Linked DNA regions of Coturnix japonica. The protein of the gene in region 2 binds, or shares a complex with, the protein of the main gene of each other region. Links are inferred from orthologs where the notes say so. Each region holds a gene or a part of one and is shown on either strand. Other genes may lie near its edges.

Region 1 (3,600 bases), on a different chromosome or scaffold from region 2:
AGCAGACACATCAGATACTAATGAAAGCTAAGCCAGGGAGTACAAACTCTTAAGACCTGGAAAAAGGGAAGAACCACTGGACAGATCTTACTGAATTGCACAGACCATTAATGTTCTGAGAAAGAAAAGTTCAGCATGTGATGAGGATGCACAATGGGATGACCACAGGGAGAGATCAGAGGATGAGATGTTATTATATGCTGTAATAACGCCAAAGGTCATGGCAGAGATTATTCCTGTAGCACAGCTAAGCATAACACACAAATCAGACTTACATCTTCTTGGACTGTGAGACCGCTGATTTTCTGTTGGGAAAGAAAGAAATCAGCAACAGGTCAGCAGGATATTAGAGGAAGGAGGCTTAAGTATAGAATGAACCACGTATCTTTATTATGCCTTAGCCTGAGGAACACATGACAAGTTGCACTGCTAATGAATATAAGTTCTTAATATTAGTCTCCCATCAAAAATAATACCAAGGTGGCTGCATTCTCACTGTGGTGGTAACATCAGTAGAAACACACTGCAAATTCTGGGAGTCATAAACATATAAAGAACATGAGCATCCTTTCAATGTGTTAAGGGACAGAACCACCCCTCTTTGCTACTAGAAATCTCTTCTGGAATATGGTATTTAACTTGAGGTGTGTCTTTTGCATTGTGATAAATGCAGCCAACTCCAGGACAGCCACATTTTGCAGAACGCTGTCACAAAGCCCTAAAGGTACACAAGCTTCTGAGCCTACAGAGACAGTTCTTCAAGGCAGACATTTAGACTGGGAGCATTTCCTCATCTTCTTACCATGTGAAGATGCCACTATCTTCTTCCTTTCTTCTACTGTGGCTAATCGTCTCCAGAGCGAGGGATACCTCTTGTACAGAGAGCCCCGGAACATACGCAGGTAATTCCCCACCTATAAGAAGAAAAGCAAAGATGTGACCTGGAAACGTATTCCATTTAAAGAAACGAATTATCAAAAACTGAAACAAATTTTCAATAATGAAACAATAACAGTGACCTCATAAATAACCTCCTAAGAGGATTTTTTTTGTTGCTTTTCACAATTCACTGTATCAGGTTTGGCATCATAAAGCACAATTTTTGGCACAATACATAGCTCTTATCAGCACTTATTTCACTAGTTTGCTAAGAAACTCCAGCTCATTGACAGAAATCAGTTTTTGTTTATTTTTGGGACTTTGCTACATCAGCACAGTGTCCAGGAAGGATTTAATGGAGCTGCACACCCAGCTCTCCAGCAGCATCCCTTTCACCAGACACCGCTGGGATCACAGAATCACAGAATGACCCGGGGTTGGAAGGGACCTCAAGGATCATGTAGTTCCAACCCCCTGCCTGGCAGGGCCACCAAACATACACCTTTACTAGATCAGGTTGCCCAGGGCCCCGTCCAGCCTGGCCTTGAACACCTCCAAGGACGGGGCATCCACAACCTCCCTGGGCAGCCTGTTCCAGGGCCTAACCACTCTCCTAGTGAAGAACTTCCCCCTAACATCCAACCTAAATCTTCCCTCTTTCAACTTAAAACCATTTCCCCATGTCCTGCTATTGTCAGGACTGCTTTCCAAGAGTGGATGGCTCAGACACACACAGCGCTGCCTTGTGCTCTACTTTAAGCCCTTGGAACACGCAGGATGCGATCTGTGCCTCTCCAAACCCGCTGACCAGCAGCACAGCAGCTCTGCTCTTCTCAGCACAATGCAACACAGCAGTGCAGGCTCCAGCAGGGTTCGCTGGACAACACAATGAATTCTAGGCTCTGCGACCAGGTTTTTTAACTGCTGCTGTACTTGTAGAGTGTGTATAGTTCACAAAGGGGCTCACATTCCCTGTCACACAGGCCTTATTTTGACCTTAACATCTTTCAGACCATTTTTAATTGTAACTTTATAGCGGGGGGCTGGAAGGCGATCCCTCCTCCTCCACGTACCCTGTGTGGCACATATAGCCAGATAACCTGCAGTTATGGCTCCTTTTAACAGCACAATCCCCACAGTATCACAGCACCAAAGCCCTTCTGCTCCCACACAGCGCTGCCCACCCCACAGCCTCGCCTCGCCGCCTCCCCCCCTCCCCGGGCCGCCGCCATTGTCCGTACCTCGGAGCCGATCATATAGAATTCTCCGTCCTCCTCCAGCTGGAACTTAACGGGCTTCTGCCCGAAGGTTTTGCTCAGCGCCATCATCATCATCGCTGCGGCCCGGCGGGATCCGGCGGCGCTGAGGGAACCGGGGCGCAGCGACAACGGCAGCGCCTCGGCCTACTCCGCTGCTGCTCTGCGCATGCGCAGGGCACCGCCCCGCCCGCTCGTTCCCGCCCACCCGGCGCTGAAGTGAGTCGGGCGGCGGGTAGAAAAGAGGCGCTTTATTGGTACATCGATACGTATATACACAGTATATATAGATATAGATATAAAAAGAGTTGATACGCGTCGTACAAAAGTTGACGCCCACGGGTTTGGTTCTGTACCCGGGAGCACCGTGCGGATGGGCAGTGTCCAGCACTGGGATGGGGCAGGCTGAGGGGCTGCGGCCTCACAGCGCGGGGGGTGATGGCGGCGGGTCGGTGTTATGGGGGGGGTCCCGTTCCAAGGCCTGATGGCTTTGGGATGATAGAGCTACAACAGCCCGGCCACATTAAGGCTGCTCGTGTCTGTAAGGAATGTGGCAGATGCTTCTGTACAGGGACCAAAGCTGGGGCTGCTGCTGGAACGGGAGAGGAGCAAACTTTGTCACTTGTTGTGACACGTCTGTTGTGTCAGTCTGCGCCTGGAAGGAGCCAGGGATGGCAGCAGAGCCCTCAGTGTCTGCTGGAGGTCAGGGCTGGAAGGGAAAAGTAGGGGATGCTCCTTCATCGGAAGGAGTTGGAGGACGGTGTGCAGCTGAAGAAGTCCTGGCTGATCTGACGGGGGTAACCTTCCAGAACCTTCACCTGCACCGGGTCAAACTTCCAGTAGTCTCGGCCTCTCAGGAAATAGGCAAAACCTGTGGAGGAGAGAGGGAGGAGTAAGTGAGCCAGCCTTCACTCAGCTGTCTGCACTAGGTACTACTGAAAGCAGTTCAGCACTGCTGCCTGGGCTGAACTGCAGGCAGAGCTGCTGGGCTTGTCACTATTGGGAGTGGTAACAGCTGGGTCTGGTGGGAAGTAGCATCACCCTGAGCACGTGCCCCAGAGCAGGGCCTGTCCCTGCTGCACTGACCCAGCTCATCCTGAAAAGCAGCATCAATCTCCTGTGGGACGCCTCGCCAGTCAGCCATGGTCCGGGGGTAGATGTTGTCCACCTGGCGTGTGCGAGGGTTGAAGCGCCAGTAGTTGCCTCCACTGAAGATGTAAATCTTGTTCTTCTCTGTCCCCCATACCAGAGCTGCCTGCACGGGAGAAGCAGGGAGGCCCAGCTCTACAGTTGGTGTGGGACCAGAGACTCGTCTCTCGCCGTCATAAATCCAGTACTGAGAATCTGGTAAGGAGATGGAAAAGGGGAAACACATGTTCAGAAGTTCTTAGATGTCAGATAACTTGGCATGGAATTGCAGACTGGAGCTGGTGCCTGGGCAGAGCTCCCAGGGAAAGCTGTTCAT
Region 2 (3,722 bases):
GGCCAGTCAGACAGTATCATGCATCCTTCCATGAGCCAGTCAAGCATAGCTCAAGATCGAGGTATGTGATTTGGCTTAGAGAAGTTCTAATGGTACAAATCTGTTTGTAGAGCTAGATGCGTAGCTAAAAATTACCTGTCCTGATAATATGAATTCTGTGGTGAGACAGCATCTAAAGGCTGTGCCAGCATTATAACTGCAAGTGTTTTGGCTTCTGGCATCGTATTCAACTGTCACTGGCCCTTTGGTCTCTGAATGTTTGATGCAGGCTCGTTGTTTGGCTTTTCCAGATCTTTTCCACAAATGTTAGTTGCTTAAGTTCTGTGACTGTAAGATTCAAAGTAAGGGGTGGTCATAACAGTACTGGGTGGCATTTCCTCATATGAGAACAGGAGAAAATAAATGTATAATGTCAGTCCGAAAGTATGTAGATGTCACCCAGAGAAAATAAACAAGCAGACAAACTAAAAAACACTCTGAAAATAACAAAAAGTCCCCAAAATTTGCCAGTACCTGTAATGCTAAGTTTTTTTTTTTTTTCCTTGTTTAAAACAGGAAATTGGATATGTTCTTGGTAGCTAGGACTACCAGCAGCAACTGTAAAATGTCCCTTGGCTATTGCTGAAAGAGTTGTTATCTCAGTGGGTAATGCAGGCACCCTACTAGCAATGACTGTAAAATATGCCTCAGTTGGTGCTGGCACAGTTCTGTTAGGGGTTCCTGTGAACAGTTGTTGCTTAAGACACGTGTCCAGTGGCACCTCTGGGTACTTTGCTCACTGTCTGCTCCCTTCCCTGGGTGACCAGGTTACTTGCAGAGGAATCCTCAGATGCCCCAGTACAGCTCTCCCCAGCCCGGCTCAGCCTTATCTCCCCGTCAGTCTTCTGGAGGACAGATGCATGCCGGAATGGGGTCATACCAGCAGAACTCCATGGGAAGCTATGGACCCCAGGCTGGGCAGTACGGACCTCAAGGTGAGGCATGAGAAGCTTCTCAAGGGGGAACCAAGCACAGAGAATGGGAAAGGCCTCTGTTGGTGGCAACACCTTGTCTTTGGAGAATGTGTTTTGAGTGGTGTCCTCTTAATCCATGGGTGATTCAAAACAGTCCACTCCCTATGGGGTGGTTCAGCTTGTGCTTTGAGTACTGTACTGAGATTCATGAAAGATGTTATTTGAGTGCTAGCTGGACTTGCAAATGTAGGATCTCCCCTCTCTTAGAAGGATATAGGCAGCACCTCCAGTGTGCTAGAGAAAAGCCAGTTAACTTCAGAGGGGAAGGAAATTGTGTGCTATGTGTTTTGGAAAGGGTTAAGTGAATTTATTTACATCCTGTCTTGGACCGTTTAGCTCAGTGTGGTTGGCTGAGGTTTGGGGGAGCATCAGTCAGCTTTAGAATCAATGTTGTATCTTAGCTGTGTCAAAACACATGTTTCATGGCTTCTATCCAAGTGCTTTGACTTTTTGTAGAGGTGTTAAGACACCCCCTCATCTCCGTTAGTGATCTTTAAATATTTGCTGATAGAAGATTTGTATGGTGATTCATGAACTAAGTAGTTGAACAATGTTGTCTTCCCCCTGTTTTATCTCTTCAGGAGGTTATCCCAGGCAGCCAAACTACAATGCTCTGTCCAATGCCAACTATCCCAGTCCTGGGATGGGAGGAAGCATGAACCCAATGGCAGCAGGGAGCCAGATGCATGGGCAGACTGGTGTGCCTCCATACAGTGGGCTTCCTCCTGGGAGGATGAGCCACGCAGCCATGGGGAACAGACCTTATGGACCTAACATGGCAAATATGCCTCCTCAGGTGGGGACAGGAATGTGCCCCCCACCAGGGAGCATGAATCGCAAAGCACAAGAAGCAGCTGCTGCTGCCATGCATGCTGCTGCTAACTCCATCCAGAACAGGTGAGGCATGAAAATGCTGTTGGTCTGAACACATTCAATACATTCCCTGTGTTGTCTCTAGGTTTGAAAGCCATGCATGCAGTTACCCAAAGTTGGGGTGATAGAGAACACAAGTAACACATGCTTCCTTAGAGATTTACCTTTTTGAAGTCTTCTTCCTCTATCTTAGCTGCTTCTTTTCTTTTCTTTTTTCTTTTCTTTTTTTTTCAAAGCTTGAATAAGTAGTGTAATTTAATATGTTGTTAATGACCTGCTTAGGGAATTTTTAATGCTGATGGATGAAATCTGTTTAACTTGGTGTTTTCATAGGTTGTTTTGGCTTTCTGGTCTTCTCTGTGGTGTGGGTGATTTTAAAACTGCTGTGTGTGTGGTAAAGCCCATAAATCTAGCATGCAGCATCCATCTATCCAGATGCATTTGTCTGGACCAAGGCATTGCTTTTCCACTGTGTCAAACTTCCTTTTAGGTCTTTGATGGGCGACTATGGGAAATGAGCTGGAATTCAGCGCTGAACTTCACAGCTGTTTCCTGTGTTTTATTTTGCTTTAATTGCGCATTTCAGAGCAGTTGTTACGTGGCCTACCAGAATGCCACGAGAGCCACAAACTTGCTTATAAATTAGGTTCCCCCAGTGAAGCTGTTAGATTTACATGCATTTGTGGTCTGACGTGGCATTGTACTCTTTATCCTGTTTTATCTTACTCGTTATCCTGCTTTAAAGCTTATTTCTGCAATCTTCTGTCTGATACTGCTAAGAGGTCAATCAAGGCATCAAAGTGTATCCTTTCGATTAATGTGTCTGAGGGAAAGTTGTGTGTGGGGTTTTCTGACACATGTGCAGTCATGTACCTTCTGTGAATGTAAAAAAGTAAAGAGAGGAAAGCCATTAAATACGGGGAGTGCTGTGCTGTGCATCTGTAGAAATGCTTAAATGCTGCAGTATTTGTAGATGAGTTCTTTCCTGTGAAGGTGACTTAGGACCTGAAACCAAGTTCAGTTTGGGGATGAAGATAAGAGGTCAGACTGTTGGGTGCTGAAGTCTGTCTTTCCTAATGGGTTGCGTCTCCTTTGCTTTTGAGTTGTGCTTTTGAGTCTTAGGTTTTGCAGTGGGTAAGCTTTCAAAGAGCAACAGACCTTTTGTAGTAGAAGGTTTCTTCTAGTCAGTCTGTTTTGTTAGCAGGTGCAATGTGAATACTTTGTATTTGGAGTAAATGTCTGTTTCTTCCTTGCCTTTTCTAGGCCTCCTGGTTACCCCAGCATGAACCAAGGGGGAATGATGGGCACTGGACCTCCTTATGGACAGGGAATTAACAGCATGGCTGGCATGATCAACCCCCAGGGCCCACCTTATCCCATGGGTGGAAATATGGCTAATAACTCTGCAGGTAAGGCACTGCTGAGTGCTGGGCATTGGGTGACTTAATGGGTCTGGAATGAAAAGCATTGTCATAGATTCTTGTAACTTCCTAGGGATGGCAGCAAGTCCTGAAATGATGGGTCTTGCGGATGTGAAATTAACTCCTGCGACAAAAATGAACAATAAGGCTGATGGGACCCCAAAAGCAGAATCCAAGTCAAAGGTAAAACTTTTTTTAAGCGGTGTGTGTGTGTGTATGTGTATATATATACACACATAAATATATATATATTTAACGACACAGCATATTGTATCTACTCCCAAGAGAAACCCAATGTGAATTGCCATCTACCATGAGCAGACTGGCCATTACTGTGGCTGTTTATGCAGTATGTGATGTTGCTGCTGTGTGAGCATGGTTTTAACTCTGCAGTGTGGCAGTGAGCGAGGTACCC
Region 3 (3,822 bases), on a different chromosome or scaffold from region 2:
GACTCAAGCACAGGCAAGGTGCACAGCAGTGTTCCTTTAAGTTGTGAACACTTACATTCATCAACACATGCTCGAAAATCAAGTTCCAAGTCAAAAATGGTGAAAGACTGGAGATAAAGATGAGCTTGGAGGAATTAACTTACTCAGCAATTACATAAAATGCGAGTGCCCTGGTTCTAAGAGCCAGGGTACACAAGTGCTACTGATCGGCTCTCACCATTAATTCTTATAGCTATAAGAACTTTGTATAACTCATGTTCTGCCATGGGGATACCCATCGGTCTCCGAGTTGGGCTCTCGGTCTCGTCACCATCAGACTCCTTGGAAAACAGAGATGAAGGAGGATATCAAGCCCTTAGCTACACTCCCAGACACTAAGAAACTGGTTCAATTTCCAATTCCAGACCCATCAAATCAGCTCTGCAGTTGGGTGCCTTACACTCACATCTTCTAGCAGCCTTCCTTCTACTCGAAGCTCCCAGGAGGCCACTGTTCCTTCACCATCCTCTGCATCCGACTTGGCTGGATTGAAGGTATTGGAGATAAAAATACGTAGCTTTCGCTTTTGCTACAAGAAAAAGCATCAGCTCAGTATTCATTCAGAAGCAAAGGGATGAGAATCATGCTTATGTTTTGTTAAAACTAAGCTAAATATTCTTCTTTTCCTCATACATCCACTCTCAGGACAAACAGCACAGAGAGAGGCAGTCTTGGTTCTACCCCCCCACTTAAGTCCTGGGCATTACAGTTCTCTCTATGCTTATAGGGTTATGACACAACCTTCAAAGCCCTCCTACTCTTCTGATAACAGTAAGTCTCTGAATGTCCCTCTCCTACCTTAATGGGTCGTTTCAAAGCCTCCTGGATATCCAAGCGTTTCCTCATGATCGTCTGGTCCAATTTCCTTTCAAAGGCCAGCAGGTCCATATAAGCTTGAGACTCAGGCACAAGTTCACGGATCTACAAGCAGAACACGAGCCAATCAAGAATGCAAATCACTGTCAGTTCCCCCACATCTCCATATCAGCAGAGGCTGTCAACTGCACATGCCACTCACCCTCTGAGGTAGAATTTTGTCTGCCATCTTCTTCTTTTTAGCACTGTAAAGTAAGGAGAGCATTAAAATGGCAACCATTCTGCTAATTAACACTGGACGTTCACAAAAGGAGCGAGATGAGGTTTGTGTTTTAGGACCAGGGCATCAGCAATGCTCTCAGCCCTGCAGCAGCTGATCGCCTTAATACATCCCCAAGGAAAGCAATGAAAGCAAGGCTGCATCATTGGAAAGGAAGCCTTATGGCTCAATGTGCTTTAGACAGACTTTTCTAGGAGACTCAGAGATGCATTACCAACGTTACCAAGGCATCACATTGTACTATCAGAAACTGAACATTAACTTGCTCTTGTCCAGCAGTTGCACATTACTTTTTTATCTGCTGGAAATTCCCCTCTACCAGAGACGAAGCTGCACGAGAACATCAAAGTTTCTTTCAGCCACCCAACAAAAAAAAAGCAGCAATGAGAGGCCCAGGCCTGGCTCTGCACACAGAAAAGCTTTGTGCTGCTCTGAGCAGCCAGCAGATGACACCAAGTCAGTGCTGACCCCTTCAGAGAGAGCCTGCAGCTCAGTGATGCCTGCCCTCACCCTGATACACAGATCTCGTCCCATGGGGCTTCATGAGGAGAGAAGCAATGTGTCCACGTCCACCTGGGGATGCCCTGAGCACCCTCAATGCTCTGGTGATGCACAGAGATACCTCGAAGACCCCTTGGACCCAAGGATGCCCTGAGACTCCTCTTTGCCCTCGGGGTGTCCTGAGGAACCCTGTTGCCATAGGAATGCCCAAGGATATGCCCAAGACTCATCTGCCATCCCAGGGATGTCCTCAGGACCCCTGCTGCTCTGAGGATGCCCAAGGGACATTTTGAGACCTTCACTGTTCCCTCCCCTGCCCTGGAGGAGCACAGGGAAGATCTGGGACCCTCATCTGCTCCAGGAACCCTTCCTATTTCAAGGATACCCAAGGATATCCTAAGCCTCCCACTGCCCTGGCAGCATCCTTTGGACACCCATTGCCCTGAGAACCCCCCTGTTGCCAAGAGGACACCCAACGATGTCCCCAGAGCCTTTCTACCCCATAGTTATCCTATGAATGACCCGAGCTCCTCCCCCCACTCACAGCTCTAAGGATGGCCAAGGATGCCCTGATCCCCCCCCCCCCCCCCCGCACCGTCTATTCCCTGAGCCCCCCAGCACCCCCGGTTCTTACTTGTGGTTGCGGTTGGGCACCGCCTGAGGCTGAACCTGCTGCAGTTGCTGCGGCGCTGGTCTCTTACGGGCCTGATCCAGGCCGGCCTGCGCCATACCGGGCCTCACTGCCGGGCTCCCACCGTACCCGGGCGGCCCCATAGAGGGGCCTTGCGGTGCCAAACGGCTGCCCGGTAACATCCCAGGGCGCTGCAAGGGGAAGAAAAAAGCCGTTCCAATGCCCACCCGGGGGGAAGCCGGCCCCGTCCTCGGCCCCGCCGCCCCCACTCCCTCCCGCCCCGCCCCGCAGCGGCCCCTCCCCTGCCTCACCGGGTAGGCGGCCCCTGGTAGAGGTGAGCGGTACAAGCCCTGTCCCGGGGCTGGGCCCATGCGCACCGGTCCGCCTGGTGTGCCCGGACCCAGCGCTCCGGTCCCGGTAGCGGCCCCGCCGCCTCCACCGCTGGGAGTCACTGACTGGAAGCCCGCCCGCGCCGCCATCTTGTCCAGCACAAAGAGGAGCGGGCCGGAACCGGAGCTCTGACATAGAGAGAGCGCGGACAGCGGCCTAGAGCGGCAACGGCTGCAGAGAGCGCCCCCTGCCGGCGGGAGGAACTGCGGGGGGTGGGAAGTAGTGGGTGGGGAGGGGGTCGTGGGTGGGTTTAAGGTTCACTACTGTGGGGGAATAGGGGCCTGGGGGAGTATGGCAAGGTTCTGGGGTGGGGGTGGGGGGTGTAGAGCGTGGGGAGGGCTGTGGGTGGGGGTAGAGGACTTGGAGAGGGCTATGGGATGGTGTTGGGTTTGGGGGTTTCAGAGACCATGGATGGGATGGGGTATTTGCAGGGGGGGATGTGTGGGAAGGGGCTGCGTCCTGGGGACATGCATGGACCATAGGAAAGTGTTTTGAGGGTGCAAGGTGCTGGAGGATGGTGCTCATTAAGCCTCGATGCTGTGACTGAGTTGGGGTGGGGGTCCCCTGTTCTTACAGGTGCTCTGTGCTCGTGTTTGGGGCTGCTTTGCTTAGGGCTGGGGATGCTTGGAGGAGGATTCCTCCCTCCCTCAGTAGAAGGCACAGCGCTGAATTAAAGGCCGCTTTTTGCAAGTATTAGCATTACTTTCCTTGTCCCCAGGGCACTCATCCGTGTGGTTGCTCATAGAGCAGAGGGACCTGCATCCAGCCTGCATTAATCCATGAATAAAATCCAAGAGAGCAGCCACACCGCAAGTATTAATTAAGCAATTAATGATAATCACAGGCCATTTAGGAAGCTGTCCTGTACAGTGCATGGCATTGTTGACTGAGGAGAAAAGTGGGGAGTTGTTGGCATCTTTTCCACCAAATTCAGTGTTTCTTGACCTCGATAGAAAACACGATGCCGTGAGCACAGCCATTAGCTGTTGTCTCAGCATCCGTGTGTCCGTGCAGTTAATGTAATGCCACCTCCAACACAGCCTTGGCGCCTGGCTGCCTGATGAAATATTCATGGTGAGGAGAAGCGGTGGAACTTATCTGCTCCGTATTGTTCAGATGCAGCAACTTCAAGTGAGGCTTAAAGCCCGGCAGGAGCCTTTGGACA

Evidence for each region.
Region 1: ARID1A (region 2) and SMARCB1 share a complex: the UniProt entries of both Homo sapiens proteins name them as parts of the neuron-specific chromatin remodeling complex. The link is inferred for Coturnix japonica from reciprocal best matches to the Homo sapiens genes ARID1A and SMARCB1.
Region 3: ARID1A (region 2) and SMARCD1 share a complex: the UniProt entries of both Homo sapiens proteins name them as parts of the neuron-specific chromatin remodeling complex. The link is inferred for Coturnix japonica from reciprocal best matches to the Homo sapiens genes ARID1A and SMARCD1.

The regions. Positions count from the first base shown.
Region 1 is NC_029530.1:7,048,783-7,052,382, reverse strand, and holds the start of SMARCB1 (SWI/SNF-related matrix-associated actin-dependent regulator of chromatin subfamily B member 1), read right to left. Parts: upstream 2,321-3,600; 5' UTR 2,214-2,320; coding exon 2,121-2,213; intron 915-2,120; coding exon 803-914; intron 306-802; coding exon 276-305; intron 1-275. Other genes in the region: MMP11 (stromelysin-3), read right to left, coding at 2,873-3,006, 3,222-3,479.
Region 2 is NC_029538.1:59,980-63,701, reverse strand, and holds part of ARID1A (AT-rich interactive domain-containing protein 1A), read left to right. Parts: coding exon 1-61; intron 62-806; coding exon 807-974; intron 975-1,594; coding exon 1,595-1,910; intron 1,911-3,149; coding exon 3,150-3,295; intron 3,296-3,380; coding exon 3,381-3,490; intron 3,491-3,722. UniProt on the Homo sapiens protein: Involved in transcriptional activation and repression of select genes by chromatin remodeling (alteration of DNA-nucleosome topology).
Region 3 is NC_029544.1:348,008-351,829, forward strand, and holds the start of SMARCD1 (SWI/SNF-related matrix-associated actin-dependent regulator of chromatin subfamily D member 1), read right to left. Parts: upstream 2,783-3,822; 5' UTR 2,747-2,782; coding exon 2,579-2,746; intron 2,459-2,578; coding exon 2,271-2,458; intron 1,101-2,270; coding exon 1,058-1,100; intron 961-1,057; coding exon 838-960; intron 569-837; coding exon 440-568; intron 1-439. UniProt on the Homo sapiens protein: Involved in transcriptional activation and repression of select genes by chromatin remodeling (alteration of DNA-nucleosome topology).